Linked DNA regions of Struthio camelus. The protein of the gene in region 1 purifies or fractionates together with the protein of each later gene. This does not show direct contact. Links are inferred from orthologs where the notes say so. Each region holds a gene or a part of one and is shown on either strand. Other genes may lie near its edges.

Region 1 (7,750 bases):
CTCTGCTCTTTGGGACTTCATGTCCCTTCTGACAGTGTTGCGTTCCCAGATGCAGCTATTCAGAGTGGAATGATCTGGCTGGACTTTCAGGAGTTATCAACAATATAGCCTTCTCCTGAAGGACAGTAACCCTAGGAAGACCAGCTAAGCAGGGATTGTAAGTGATCCGAAGAACAAGTTATATCAATAGTTGAAAATGGTTCTGCTTGGTTGTGGTTCGGATCGCACAACTGGAGATTCAGAACCGTCCCTCTTGCCATATACACACAAGCACATAAACACAAACTGCGCTCTAAACGTAACCTACCACTGTCTCCGGTCAGTTCTAAGTATCTTTTCCTGGTCAGGAAGGGGGTAAAAGAATGCAGACAGCAGAGTACAAATGCTCTGGGAACATAAAGGACAGGAGATTCTGCCTAGCAGTAGGAGTACTAATGAACACGTGTTCCTCCTCTTGCCACAAGCTCGCTTTCTAAGGATCAACATGCCCCAAAACCACTTTTTGAATCTCTTCTCTTTAAAGCCTTAGCACCCGTCCACCTGCTTCACCTCAGCTGTGACCCACATAACAATAGCCCCCGACAACAACATAGCTTGCTAAAACAACAAAGAACAACAATCACCAGCCTGAAAGTCTCTAGACAGCTTTCTCTAATCTTTGCATCACACTGCAAACATCAGAACTGTCTCAAATTCCACATATTGGTGGCCCAAATGCTAATGGAAAACAACTGATCACACACACTCTGCAGTCCTGTTGATGAGCTAATAAACTGAGGGTGGAGAGATGATGTGCAATATAAACTGGAGTCACTTGGCAAGTGTTCAGCTATCCAGAACCTTCCAGGAAATCCTGAGTAGCATTTTTGCTGGGAAAGAAAATCCATCTCAACACTGGAATTTCAAGAACGGAAAAATCAGAGGTTAGCTTTCTTGGAGAGGACAGGCAGAACAAGACCGGAAGCAAGTATACCACTCAAGGGCCTAAGATGGAGCCATTAAGGTCACTGTCACATAGCCTTCAAGTGGATTCAGCAGTAAAGGGCTTCCACAGTTGGGACAACTGAAGATACTAATAACACTTACCAATATCAGACAACAAGATGAGAATAGCTTCTTCCCGCAAGCCACAGCAATTTTCCAGCTGATTCAGGTACTGCAAGAGAGCAGCACAGAACATAGGTAATCTTTCCCTCTTGTGTCCTAAGCGAGGGTCTACATCCCATAAGCTCTCAAGAATGTAAGAAGCTCCAGTGACAGCAAGGAAATGGGACTGGGACCTCTGGTAGCAATAGTTAGAGCTTAAGACCTTGGTCTATCCTGGAGAGGAGAAAGGGTGGCTAGAATAAATCAGTATCACCTCCATCCTCTTCCTTCTACCATCTCCACCCTTCATAGCCATTTCCCCTGTGCCTTGCATTATCAGCTCTAATCTCAGCTGTACACTCTGGGCTTTATCTACGGGCAAGTTATAGCAAAGGTTAAAAAAACACCAAGATCAGAATGGCCACAAATTATTTTTTCCTATGACAGATAGAGGTTTATCAGTTCCGGGAAGGATAACGCCCACAGATCTGCCCTATGATGCTCTTGGCCATGCTCACAGCCTGTCGTACATCCCTCTCACACACCCTCATCCTCTACATGCAAATTCCACAACCTATCACTTGTGGCCAGACAAACATAGAAAGTTTCAGAAAATATTTAAGTTTTTAGAAACGGAACTTTTCCGAGAACCAACCCACCAAACGTTGTAGCTACCGTGACATGAATTTGGAAGCAGCAGGGGACAAAAACAGAGCTTTTATACTCTGAACTAAACTTTTCTGAAGACAAACCCCAGGTCTCATCCTGCTGAGGCCCCTTAGTCACCATCTCCATCCCAGTGACCTCACCTTGCGGAGGTCTCCACCTTGGCAATACTCCATGGCCAACAGTGGCAAGTCATTTGGTGCAAGCTTCTGCATCCCTTCAGGGACATCACGGGCAGCCACTACATTGGGATGGTTCAGCCTAGGGAGTGGAAACGAGGCACATATACATATCACCTCAGCCACGGCAGAAACCTGAAAGCTGATCATTCTACAAGAGCTCCACAGCTTCATGTGCACGTGTCACTCTAAGCCCTACAGGGACGTTAATCCTTTTAGAAACCGAACCAGTGCATTCTCGAGGCCTGCAGTTCACTCATCCTTCACAGACCTAGAGACTCATCTCAACTCTTTGCATTCAGGGCACAGCGAGCGCGCATAGCCTCAGTGCGTGGTCAGTGCATTCCTCCAGTGAACAGGCACAACGGATCTCGGCAAGGCCTTTTCCTGTAGCTCCGAGGGAGGAGTCTAACGCAGCCTGTTAGCATCCTTCAAAAAAGATCCTACCTACTTTCAGGCTACTGCATCCCACACAAGTAATCCAGCGTCTTGAAAGAGAACCCAACAGAAACATTAAGTCAGGCCAAAGAGCAGCCACGCTGCAGAACTGTTATAACACTAGAGACAGCAGCACAACCTCTGGAGAACGAAGCCTTTAAACCTCGAGACGCAGAAGCTGAGAGAAAACACAACGCAAGGTTTTCTTGGGCGCGCCCCCGGCTCCTAGGCGCTGGCCTCCGTGGAGGGGTAGGCTCGCTCCGGGGCCGGGCAGCGGGTACCGCCTGCCTCTCCCGCCGTTCACCTCAGCGCCGCCGGGAGCGGCAGGCCGCGCGCAGGCCGCGCCCCGGCTCGGCGGCGGAGCGGCCGGCCTCGCCCTCACCTCTTCATGATCTGTATCTCCAGCGCCCAGCGGTCGCGGTTGCGCGGGCTCAGCTCCTGCCGGCACTGCTTGATGGCCAGCTGCTCGCCGGTCTCCTGCGGACACAGCGCGGGCTCGGCTGAGCGCGGCCGGGCCGGGCCGGGCCGGGCCGGGCCGGGCCGGGCGAGGGGGCCCGCCGCCGCCGCCGCCGCCTACCTTGTTGTGCCAGCGGATGACGTTGCCGAAGCCGCCGGTGCCGAGGCGCTCCTTCATCTCCCAGGGGCCGCAGGTCTGCGCCTGCAGGGCCGGCGGCCGGCTCATGGCGGGGCCGCGGCGCTCCGGCTCCGGCTCCGCAGGGCCTGGGCCGCGGCTGCGTCCGCTTCCGGCGCCAGGGGCACGTGGTGCGGCCGCCCGCCCCGAAAGGGGCCGCGGGCCGGGCGCGCTGCAGCCGCGCGGGGCGCCGCGAGCCGCCGGGGGGCGCCGCGAGCCCCCTCGTTCCCCCGGAGGTCGGTGGCGTCTGCTCGTCTGTCTGAAGTCGAGGACTCGGGGAAAGGGGGAGTAGAGCTCATGGGCTATTTAATTACCTAAAGTGACAGAGCAGCTGTCTCCTTCCCACAACTTCATTAAAATCTGCTAAAGGTACTGAAATGTACATTTTATCTCAGCCCCCACCACCCCAAATCAAAGTACCATTCTGCGCATTACATCATTTTTAGGTATTGCTTTCTCCTGACGACTTGCTATGGGTTGGGTGAAGTTAGGTGCTTTAATGCCACTGCAAACTCATGCATGGTGGCACAGGGAGGGAAGCATGCAGCTCGACATGCAGCACAGGCAGTCACATCCACTGCAGGCTGCCAGGGCCACCAAGCACAGCTGTGCCATTGGGGGAGGGAATGTAGGCCAACAGCAGACCACAAGCATGGCACAGCTAGACAGCTGAATCCACTCAATGTGTTTGTACAAAAGTTTATCCTATCTCTTGTCAATAACCTCTGTTCTGTTGCCAGCTTCTGCTAAACAAACACATCACACGGCACTTCTTCCTCCATTGCTTCCAGTCTTGGAGGCCTCTCTTAGCTAACTGCAATTCCAAAGAGACACCTGTACTGTAGCCAGAAAAGATTAAGTGGTCTGTGCTTACCTCGAAGGAGCTAACTACTCTGAGTTCTGGGCACAGTAAGAGCGAGCCTGTTGGGGAAGGAACTGCCAGTCTGACGGAAAAGGAATGCAACTGCTGCCCAGGAGGAACAACTGCTCCTGCGCGCTAAGCCTCTTTGAGAGGGAGGGGGGAAAGTAAAAGTGAAGGCAGACCAAAGATGGAACGGTATGGGAGCATCCGATGCCAAAGTCTGCCCTATTCTGTATTGCTGTTCCTTTGAAAAAGGATTAACAGTTCGTTGTTTCTCAGTTACACAAAGAGCTTTCTTCACTATAAACGTTTGGATGAGCTTAGGCATTCTGAAGAATACAAACTGCTTGATCAACCATCTCTGGATTACATTCTGAGGGTGTAACGCCAGCTGAAGATGACAGGTCTGAGCTATGAGTATTTAGCTGGATGAAACTGGATGAAAGCAAAGAATATTCAGAGTCCTGCTAGGCTGCCAGAATACTTAGCTAAGGATCTAGAGGGGATTCGCAATCCAACACGTCATGAGGCACTATCAGTACACCTAAACTATTTATGCTTATGAACTAGTTTTGTGAAGAGCTGCAATACCACTTTTAGACTGCAATGCAAGCAAATCCCTAGTCTTTGCCATTATGCTAAATGGCATAAACTCGACAAATTTTTCAACTGTTCTTTCAGGTGTGGTCATTTTGTACTAAGGATTCCAAAGAATCTTGCCTCCACTATGCACATGGCCTGCAGCCCATTTTCTAAACAATTTTTCAGGCTCTTCTTGGGTACAAAAGCTACTAATTGCTGATAAACAGGTAGATCTGAATCAGAGCACAGCGTACATGGGATGGGAAGACAACGACACACTGTGTCCTTAATAGTTACGGATCTGGTTACAACCCTCCTCTTAACCCAGGCTTCTACAGCAGAATTTTGCTCACACATTCAGAAGCAGAGCTGTCAGATCAGGATACTGATGCCTGGACTATTAAGTCTTTACAGAACAGCTATGACCAGTCTCCCAGTTGCCCATCTAATTCCTGTTCAAACTAGATGATTGCCACTCAGGAAAGGCATAGAGAAAGCCTGTTACAGCCTCATAACTCTTCAGGAAAAAAAAAAACAATGCTCTTCCTGTGTCAGTTAGTGGCCTGACAGGAAGTCCTTGGTTAAGCACAGAGTCTCTTCACCTAGTACCAAGTACCCATGTGAGAATAAGGAGCTGTTGCTGATAATCATTTTCAGCAACATATTTATAAAGCTTATTTATAAACTTATTTATAAAACTAAGACTTAGTAACTAATCAGAGTGAGGCCAGCCTAGGTGGAGAAGACAGCACAGGGTGAAACAGTACTGTTATTCAAATAACAGAGCTCAGAGAAGGTGCAGAGTGAAGTGACCACAATAAACTTGGCTTCTGGCATTAGACTGAACTTACTTATCAGGACAGAAATGCATCAATACATCCTACGAGAGGAGACGGAGGTTTGGCAGTCACTGCACTGAAAGAAGACAGTCAAGATCAGCTGCTCAACACATACCTTCCAGGACAAAAGCACATTCCGTATCCTGATTGCTCAGGAAAGCTGCTGCCCAAAGAGAGTGCCAGAAATCCTCCACAGCTATGGCAGCAAAGGATTGCCAGAAGGGGGACGCACAGACTTCTGACATGGTTATTGAGGTTTTGTTACCAAAAGTCCATCTCTAGAGAATGCAGGCAACTGGCGTCCCTGCCAGTAGCATCCATTTTCAAAAAAGTCTATCCTCCTTACTGCTAGAACACTTCATCAAATTACTTCTGTGCATCAAAACATTCAGACCTAGTCACAAGCAGAACAACGGCAGAATCTGAGTAGCTTTTTGCACGTACTTCAAGTAACGCTGAGAATAATCCCTAAGAGGATTTTGTATAAGGCAGAGGTACAGTGACTATAAAGCAGTGATCTGTGCAAATACTTTATTCATACCACAACATACTTCTTTCACCTTAGCAGACAGTGAACTTTCCCCCATGAAACCAGAAAATGGCTTCATTTTATATCTACATTGGTAGAGAGGTTCCAGCAAACGTGCAACAGAGGGGGCTCTTGAACTTAAGCTGCCTGGAGCGCTGCTCTCTTTACTGCCTTGTGCCCAAACTCTGCATGCTGCAAACACACACACACACACACACTCCAACAACCCCGAAAAGCCCAGCTCCAAAGAAAACATCCAACCCCATAATACTATTGTTTAACGCATTTAGCAATAAGCAGTATTGCAATTCACTGAGAGCTATACGCATGAGAGAACCTAACACTCTAGAGTCCGTCTTGTCAGATACCTATCTGCCACTCATGCAGATACCTATCTCCTGCTACCCTAGTTTCAATGTCTCACTCATCCATCACATATCATTATCCTGGGACACAGATTTCTACACCGAACGGTTTCATAAATATCATTTAAGATACAAAGCTAATGCAGAAAGATATGGCTAAGAGCAGCACCCTTCTTCAGGAGGGTGCAGTCTCTGACACACAGTTGCTTCAGCAGTGAGCATGCACCTTCCTCTCTAGAGAGAGCGGAGGGCGACAGGCAGCTCTTTGGAGCAGGACCGTGTTATGCTTGGTTTGATATGCTGACGTACACGTTTATAATGGGATATTCGAAGAAGCACAATTAGATTTACATCCAGTCTGGGCACCTCTGAATGTACTCTCTACCACTTAATAATAAAAATAAAGCTGGAACAGTTTATAGGTCTTCTACGTAAGACAAGTAACAAGTTGGATTTAGGACTGTCTGCATTTGGACACTTAAAACTGATTTTTAAAGGTATTTAGCTGTCTACCATAGGTGACAATTACTTGTTTTTAAAATATCAATCTAATCCTAATTATTAGTATGGACAACCATGCAAAGGGAAGCAACCTCAACATTGGTCTGTCACAGAGAGATGAAACTGTTGATGCAGTCTTTACTGTGATGAGGATAGCACATATACATGTGAAGTAATACTGTCTGTGAAGAAAAACAAAAAACAACTCCCCCCCAAAAGGCACCCCCCCCCCCCCCCAAAACATGAATTCCAGTGCTCTCAGCATCTCCAGAGATCACCTGAGCCCTTCACCAAGAGCTATGCACACTACCGGAAAAAGGCATAGCAGATTAAACTTTTCTCTAGAGATTAAAGTTCTCAACTTAGCATCTTTTAATGTTGTTAAATAGACCCGACCCCAACCTTCCAATTTCCAGGTTTGATATGTATTTAGTAAAGATGTTATGGTAGTTATAGTTAGGCAACGTACAGCCTGAACCAAAGTTGTCCCGAGTCCCCTCCAGACCTCCTACATGCCCTGGAGTTTGCAGCTGGTATGGAACTGAATGTAGAGGATCCACAAAGCATTTGAACAGTTGCATTCTTGATGAAGAGCGCCCAGACAACATCCTGACAGACTAGGCTCCACACTTCATCACTAACACGGTAGCCTGCAGAAACCCTGTCCTGAGAGAGGAGCAGCTTAGAGGTAAGCCAGGAGATGGTGGCTGTTATGTTGAAGCAGGAGACGCTTACTGCTGGCTTTCCTAAAGTATGTTAAGCACTACAAATGACACTTATACCACGCTCTCTAGTCAGCTGCAGAAAAATCTTTTTACAGGAAGTGTCCTTAAACACGAGCTGTGAAAAGCCAGGAAATAAAATAACTTTTTGAATCCTGTCCCCAACCACCACTTTGTTGGCATCTTTAATCTAGAAGTCCAGTAGCAAATAATTGGAATCTTTATAAATAACACAAATTAGCACCTGTTCTCTCTGCAGCGTCCAATCACCTTTTTCCTCAACAACCAGGAGTTCCCTGTGGTAACAGTCAATAACCAGGTGTCCCTAAATCAGTTTCATGGCAGTTACG
Region 2 (8,194 bases), on another chromosome or scaffold:
CCTGGAAAGGATCCCAAGGAGGAAAAGCAAAAATTTGTCATGCTGCGAAATTAAAGTGTGAATTAAATGCTTCCTTCCATCCCTCCTTCCTTGTCTCTCTCTCTAATCCTGTCCTCTGAGGCCCTCCACTTTGGATGCAATAGTGAGGCAGCCGGTGCATTTGTGAGAAGCTCTGAGAGTCGACTGAGTGACTTTCTTTGAAAGGAAGCTCACTTGAAGTAGAAAAAAAAAAAGTTAGCTCCACCCTGGCGGTGTAATAGGTCCTTGTTCATAGCTCCCTTTGCTATGAACCTGCTGTGTGTTGGTGGCAGTGTGGTTCCTTTCCTCTACTGTATCTCACAGGCTTCAGAGGGACAGAGAAGTTCTCCAAGTCCCTCTGTGAACAGGATGGGCTGCAAAGGGTGTCAGATAGGAGAAGCCTCGTCTAGCCTGAAAACAGGATGGCTACCTCCTCACCAAAACCCCCAGTGTCCTAAAGCAGAAAGATCGGCAAGTTCTCCAGAAAGACATCTGGCACTGCAGGCTTGGAGTGTAATTTTGAAAAATTGGTGTGTATTTCTTGGGGGGGAGGGGGAAGAAAGAAAGAAAATTTTTGCCCTGATTACAAAAACGGCCTGGGTAGAAAGGGGATGCTGAGATGGAAGATGGAGGTTCAGGAGGAATGTGAATCCTTGAAATGACTTTACAAAATCCTAATGGACATCTAGAAGTGGGGCTCAGAAAGGCTAGCCAAAATGTCATGGGGGGAACTCTGGAGGAAATGGAGAGGTTTAGCATCACTCAGGGAGCTCCGGGAGAGTGAAGGCTGCTGGATGTTGAAGTTTCATGTCCAGCCTAGGCACCATCAAAAGAGACCATGGCAACTACCCTCACTGGGATCCAGGTTCAACACCGGTGTCAGGTGTTCAACAAAAGGCCGCTCACCAGGCCTGTGGCCTGTAAAAAAGAGGCTATATCTCAGGAGGCCATCTGCTACCACCAGCTGAACAGAGCCTTGCTGCACCACAACAAGTTGAGGCAGGAACCTCCTCAGAGCAGGTGCTCTTTGCTCATCCTTCGGCTGGGCTCCTAAAGCACATTCCCCAGAAACCAGAAAATGGCACATCAGTGGGGATGTGGAGTCCTTTCTTCAGAGAGCAAAAAAACCAAGCAAATAAATAAAAAAACAAAGCATAGGTCCAGGACCCCATGGAACCGGCTGTTCAAAAAAGTGAAGACCAGAATATGGCACTGCTGCTCATTGCAAACAGCTCTGTTTTTCTCTCCCCCTTCGCCTTTTTTTTTTTTTAATAGCAAGTTCAGTGAAACTTTATCTCTTCCTGCCCTAGTGACCTTACTAAATAATCTGCTATTAGCATGACTCAATTGAGTGGCTTTCAGCTGCTCAAGTCATTTTCTTTGCCACTGCCATTTCACTGGTGGAAATTAAAAAGCACATGAGGAGCTTTCTGCCCCTGCAAAGAGCTGCACTAGTCTGTGTGACTGGAGAAACACACAGCTGAGAAGTTGGTTGCATTGTAATCACTATTTAAAGAGTTCATTAAAAAGGAACTGATTACACCCGAGAGTTTAACTTCATTAGCATTTAACATGCACGCAACACAAATGAAGTCTCAAGGCTGAACGGCCAGGCTGGGTTTTCAAGTCTCCTCCTTCAAAAGGAAATGCCGCTCACAACACTACACAGCGGAGGAGGGATGGAGACAATTCATTTCTCTTTACCACTCAAATGAGCTTTCAAACTTATCACAGTGCTAGTTTGTAAAATATTACAAATTGGACCCGAAAATGATTTACCCAGCTAATGAGCTACAACATCCACCCGAAAACTAAACTTCAACCTGGCTGTCTTACTGCATACTGCTGTAACCAAGAAACACCTAAAATACATCAAAGAAACTAGCAGGGGAAAGTATTTCCCTCTTTTTTTTTCCAATTTATTTACTGTGTGTGTTCAATAACATTCTGGCTGTAGTAGGTTTTCACTGTTTTTCTCAGTCATTTTCCCCTCTTTGTATTGCATGAAGACACAAGGGAGAAAACAACACTTTTTAGAGGCAGGAAAATGTGATTATGAAACCACAAACACTTGCAAAAGACATCAGGTGTATGAACCTGAAAGTAATATAAACTGTTATTTAAGAAAAAAAAAAAAAACAACCAAAAAAACCTTCTGGCTGTATTTCAAGTTGATGATGGCTCTTCAGTTCAGTAACAGAATGAGAAACGATAGCTGAAGCAGGGTAAAATAGCAGCGTCCCGGGTAAAATGAGACATCGACAATCCCAAAGAGTTCCCCAAATTTTTTCTCTCTCTCTCCTTGTGCCTTCAGCCAAGCTGCTGGGTGGTGGAGAGGTGGTTTCTGGGCACCCAGGACGTTAGGCACCCCGAGGCTGCCTCCCTCTTCCCTGCCCAGGGTGTACGCACAGCACATCGCCTTCGTGCACCCAAGGGTCTCACCCCCGACACCTCCGCAGTGGGACAGCTGGTCCGGTCCGGCCCGGTCGCGCACCCACCGCACCGCTCCGCACCGCTCCGCTCCGCACCGCCGGCGGCACCTGCTGCCCGCTCGGCTCGGTGCAGCCCAGCGCGGCTCGGTGCAGCCCAGCGCGGCTCTGCTCAGCCCGGTTCAGCGCGGCTCACCTCGGCTCGGCTCGGTTCAGCTCAGCTCAGCGCAGCTCGCCTGGGCGCAACCCAGCTCAGCCCCCGTCAGCTCGGCTCGGCTCGGCTGAGTCCGGCTCGGCTCCTTTGCAGCGCTGCCGGTCGCAGCCGCCCCCGCCCCGCCGCCTGCCACCCCCGGGGCTGCCCTCGCCGCCTCTTCCTCCTCCTTCTCCTCCTTCTCCTCCTCCTCCTCTTCCTCCGCGCCACCTGGACCGGCGCCCCGCTGGGCCCCCTCCGCTCCCGCCCCCTACCCGGGGCATCCCAAGGGCCCGATCCCTGGGTGGGAAGTGCTGGCGGCCGGGTAAGTACCGTGGTGCAGCCTCGCAAGGAGCCCAGCGTCGGGGCTGGGTGTGCACAACCCCATTTTGCGGAGGAGAAAGCCGTGGTACAAAAGAAATGATCACTAATAATAATAATAATAATAATAATAATAATAATAATAATAATAAGGACAACCTGAGTTTGCTGGGGCTGCAGAGCCTTGTCCTTGTGGCTAGCTAGCGAGGTCTGCTGAGGGGTGTGGAGGGGAAGTCAAGTGGGCTGTGTCTTTCCTCATTAATCTGTCCCATCATGTCATGTGCTTGGCCATCGAGTCTTCAAAACATCTCTCTTCCAGGTGGGCCCTGCCTTGAACTAGGTTTTTAATCTGAAACAAGGCCAGGCTGAGCTGCTTGGTACACCCCTTTCAGGGCTTGAGGGTGTCAAAAGTGGGTTTTGCCCAGGACCTCCCCAAGGACACGCTCTCTGCTCCACCATTCCCATGGCCTCCTCCCATGCTGCAAGATTAGGTGTAATGCCGGGAGGACAGGCAAGTCTAGAGGGGAAAACTGGCCTGGGAACCTGGAAGATGAGTGATTAGAAGGAAAAGAAACTCCAGAAATGTAGGAGCTGAAGGGTTTTGGAGCAGTCCAACAGGACTCCTCCTGGCCATCAGGAAGGATGTGCTGCAGAAGCATGGCCACATGACCAACCCTGTAACAATAATGGGCTATGCTGTCGATAGCTGTCAAATGGGATACATATCCCGGAGACCTGCAGATGTCCGTCATGCTTCTGACAGCAGGAAAGACATACCTATAGAAGACGTGGGGCCACATTCAGGTACTTTCTGTGGATCCTAACACTCTTAGGCAACTGTCAAAGTATCTCAGATGCTTGTTCCCTAAAAAGTCAATGGAGAAAGGATCTGGGATGTAGATTGTGCCACTTTGTTGCTTTGCTGGGGATAATTCTTACCATTAAAGATGCAGGTCTGCATGCCGCCATGCAGACCTGTAAAAAAAAAGATACTTTTTTTTTTTGAAATCTTCAAAATTAATCATTTAGGAATTTTCGGAGCTCTAAGTGCTCACTTTGAGTAAGCTGGAATGTTTATTTGAATGCTGTTGTAGAAAGGCAAGATGTGATTGTTTTGCCCTTGCTGCTGATTCCTAAAACATCAACTACCCAATTATCAAAAGGGAAGGGAAGAGGAAGGGAAGGAAAGTGAAAAGGAAGGACTGCTGGGCTTTTGGAAATTTGGGGAAAATGTATTGCTTTCAAAGAGCAGTTCCCTTCTATTTGCTGGAACACTCTGAGCAACGTATAATATATATCCTTGTTATCAGCAGGAAAAAAAAGGCATTTCATGAGGAAGGTGATCTTTCATTTTAATTGCTGATATGCCATTAAATTATGTATCTATCCTTCCTGCCTGCATTAGAGTGCATTATATTGGGGGGGGGGTGTTGATACTGCAGGCATAAAAGGTTCTTCAACATCAACTGAAGGTGAGCAGCAGATAATTAAAATCCCATGTAACCCTGGAATTTGCCTGAATCTTTAAGGAAAATTGCTGACAAAACTGCCCCTTCTTAAGTTTGCAGCTCCATCAGTTGCTGGTGCTGTTACTACAATTTTCAGGAGTGTCCTGGTATTGCAGATACGCCCTTGCCTTCAGAAGCAGCTGGGAAGGCAGAGCCGGCAGATCAGCTTCCCGCTCCTACAGGCATCTGCAGAAAAGGAAGGGCAGGAGGCACTTCCACTTGCTCAAAAAGTGACCCTAAAGGGAACTTGAGGTGATGGAGACATCAGTGGGCTAGGAGTGGGAGAGGTAGCAGACCTCTGCAGACCCAAGCTGGGTGTTTTGAAACAAAAATCTCTGAACTTTCTTTTTAGTTGTGTGATACAGTAACGTGGTGGGAAGAAGACTGTAGTGTCAGCCTGCACTTAGACCGGATGCGTGCCAGCCTGGGGCATTGCAGCGGCACATTCCCAACTGTGATGCAGCCCCGTGGTCTTCTGCCTGTTCCTGGACCCCTTTGGTGTTGCACCCATAAATGCACCAGATCCCTAGTTGGGGACAGAGCAGCTAGTTACATGAGGATCACTCTGTTTATAGGAGATTTTGCAGGCCTGCAAATGGTTAGGCTCAGGGTTAAGTTCTGGCTATCACAGAACAGTGCTTTAGGCCACCTAGCTCTAAACTCAGGGCAGAAGAAGGCTTCAGCTTGCGACCTCTCCTGGCAAAGCAATTTTTCTGAGTAATGACAAGATCGCAAAGCTGGAAAGGTGCCTCGGTAGGTCACCTCATCCATCTCCCTGCCCCAAGAAAGAATCAACACAAACCCTTTCTAAGGGGGCGTTTGCTCAACTTGTCCCTCCAAGCAAGCAATGGAGACTCCACGCCTGCCCCAGGCAGCTCGTTCCAGAGCTGCTGGAAAGCGTTTCCTTTATGTGTAATCGAAACCTTCCTTGCTGTTATTTAAGCCTCCTTCTTCTCATCCTATCCACCAGGGAAATGAAGAACAGATTTTTCCCTTCTCTTTTCGCAGCAGCTTTTTGCGTTTTTAAAAATGACAGCGCCGTAGTCTGGGAGGCAGCTGCCATATTAATTACCCAGCTGACACAGAGCTTCCACTGAAACATGCATCAACTGCTGTGTATTATTATTGTCATTTAATTTGACTTGTACGACTAATCAGGCATTGCCTTCTACAACAGACGAGGCCACTCCTGTGGGTGTAGGTATTTGGAAACCAAAAGCCCTTAAAGCTGCATCTTTCTGGTGGAAAATATCACCACAAGCCATCGTGTTTTCTTTCCTGTATTTGAAAACCACCCACATTTTCAGTAAAAAAAAAAAAAAAAAAAAATTAAACTGATTGAGCATTTTGCCCAGGCAATGGGCCTTTTTGAATGGTTTCATTCTCAAAATATTTGCCACTGCTGTTTGGTTTTTAAGGATGATTACTTACAAGTTCTTTGTTAATTTATAGAAGATACCAAGGAAAAAATAACCAGGGGACACATTTAATAACAGCTGTGAAGGATGGTCAGAAATTCCTCTTTACTTTAAATTCATTCAAACTCAGTTAATGAGGTATTGAGTTCAAGCACTTGAAAAAAAAAAAAAGAAGGAAATATAGCAGGCTAGGCCATTTCCAGTCTTAAAATAACACTAGAATTGGGCTTTTTTTTTCTTTTTCTCCCTGAAGGTTTCCACTTCTGCTCAACTAAGTGTGTGCTGCATGTTAGGGCGACGTTTACGTTTCGATCTCTTCTAGCAGTCATAAGAAATAGGCTGGGAAAGAACCTGAGAGGTCACCGCATTCGTTCTCCTAGGAGGCAGGTCCGACGCGCCCCAGGCTGGTCCTGTCAGATGTCTGTCCACCCCGCTGTTATACGGATGCAGCTCGGGAGCTCCCTGGCCTCCTGAGAAGAGGACAGGAAATGCAGTGAGCAAATCAAACTTGCAAAACACTCTCTGACGATGCACGTTTCTCAGACGCTTCGCCAGAAAGGGTGCGTAACTATGGGAGAATCTACAGGGTACCGTTTGCTTTTACTGGCTTGAACCTGCACTAAACTAGAGATCTTTATTATTTCTTTCCAACTGGAAAGAGGAATATTATTACTGGAGTTGCTGCAGCGCTACCCAAGAGTTGTTCGTCTCCTGCCACCCGTATGACCACCCGAACATACGGCACAAATCATAGTCCCAAGCTCGTAAAGTTTGCTCAGCAGTGATTTTGTGAAGCTTTTTCTCAGTCTCCATTCGGTTATCTGGGGCTTGATCCTGCAGTATGTCAGTAGCCATGAGATGATGACGTTTGAAATAATCGATTTAAACAGATGCTTAACCATGCAATTCAGGGCACAGGCCCACAGAGGCAGAGCCAATTCCTGCCTTCATCTGCTCATTCCCACGTTCCACCTCCCTCCTGGGCTTGTCCTGTCTCCTCACCCGAGGTTGCATCTTCCTTGCTTTGCTGACTCAGCCTCTCATGTCATCGCGCTCTAAATCAGAGCAGCAAAACGGTCTGAATTTAAGAAAAACAAGTAAACCAAAACTGAAAAAAAAGAAGGGCTGCCCCTTGCCTGTAGCTGGGATCATTTTTGTAGGACATGGCCATGTGAAGAGCTGAGTGGGCTCAGCGGTGGTGGGGAGGAGGTGGGTTGTGGTGGATGGAATGGGTTGAATGAAACCTTTCCACCCAGCTCAGTAACTAAGAGATTCGTGATGTGGAACTGCATGGTCCAGCAAGCAGGAGAGCTGCAGGAGAGGTGTGGTGCTTTGAGGCTGCTAGAAAAAATACCAGGTCATTTGTGAACAGAAGCCGCTCTCTTCTCGCAGAGAATAGTGTCCCCATTGCTTGTACTAGAGCGATACTCGTTCACGTGTTTCAGCATAAAGATACCATCGCTGGTGAAGAGTCTCCCCAAAATGGAGATCATTGAACGCCAATACCCCGAACACGTCCTGATTTTTTGTCTTTCCCTGGGTGTTTGCTGTTCACCGCTCTTGGATACAAGCTACCAGGTTCTGGGGTTGTTGGGCTATTGGTGCACGTTTTCTGCCACACTTAGCTGCTTTATGTCTTTTTAATTAATTTAATGGGGAAATTTGAAGCAAAAAGAACAGTAATCGTCTTTGCAATCACATTGGGCTCTTTTTGTAAATGTATTTATGTATCCTCTGTATTTACTGTCTTCCTAGTTAAAAGAGCTTTAGGTTAAATTCAGTCTGGATTAGCAGAACTCACTGTCCTGGGGAGTAATGGAGGTCTAGAGCTGAGCAGGATTTCAAGCGTATTCACATTTATCTTTATAACCTGCACTAGCATTCAACACAGAAATTTGCACTCCTCTAGAGAGCACTCTAAGGACAAGATTACTAGGAGGCTGGTCAATCTTCTGCTGCCACTGTGCTAACGATACAGGGCTTTTTGTATTGAAGATGAGAGGTGCTTTTGTTTTAGGCCTGGAAGTCCGGATTTTGAGCCTTGCTGCTGACAGCTAGCTCCATGATGTCCTCCCATAGCTGATATCTATACCAAGATATATATAATATATATACCAAGCTATATAAACTTGTGTAAGCTGTGTAAACTGTAGCATAACTGAAACATGAAATGAGCATCAGAGGTAGAAGATGCATATGATGCTGTGGAGGTGTTGCTGTGGAGGTGTCCCTGGAGGCATGCGCATAGCCTTCAAGCCAATGGGTTCCTGCCGCACAACTGGCCAGGGCTTATGGGTTTCGTATAGAGAT

What was found. The genes of interacting proteins can lie anywhere in the genome.
Region 2: the proteins of IKBKB (region 1) and PRKCQ purify together in Homo sapiens (affinity purification with western blotting; 4 studies listed by BioGRID). This does not show direct contact. The link is inferred for Struthio camelus from reciprocal best matches to the Homo sapiens genes IKBKB and PRKCQ.

What each region holds. Positions count from the first base shown.
Region 1 is NC_090968.1:7,907,156-7,914,905, reverse strand, and holds the start of IKBKB (inhibitor of nuclear factor kappa-B kinase subunit beta), read right to left. Parts: upstream 3,137-7,750; 5' UTR 3,052-3,136; coding exon 2,947-3,051; intron 2,847-2,946; coding exon 2,752-2,846; intron 2,014-2,751; coding exon 1,896-2,013; intron 1,157-1,895; coding exon 1,087-1,156; intron 1-1,086.
Region 2 is NC_090942.1:4,823,650-4,831,843, forward strand, and holds the start of PRKCQ (protein kinase C theta type), read right to left. Parts: upstream 3,239-8,194; 5' UTR 3,118-3,238; intron 2,963-3,117; exon of another isoform or gene 2,858-2,962; intron 2,801-2,857; exon of another isoform or gene 2,644-2,800; intron 199-2,643; exon of another isoform or gene 2-198; intron 1-1. UniProt on the Homo sapiens protein: Calcium-independent, phospholipid- and diacylglycerol (DAG)-dependent serine/threonine-protein kinase that mediates non-redundant functions in T-cell receptor (TCR) signaling, including T-cells activation, proliferation, differentiation and survival, by mediating activation of multiple transcription factors such as NF-kappa-B, JUN, NFATC1 and NFATC2.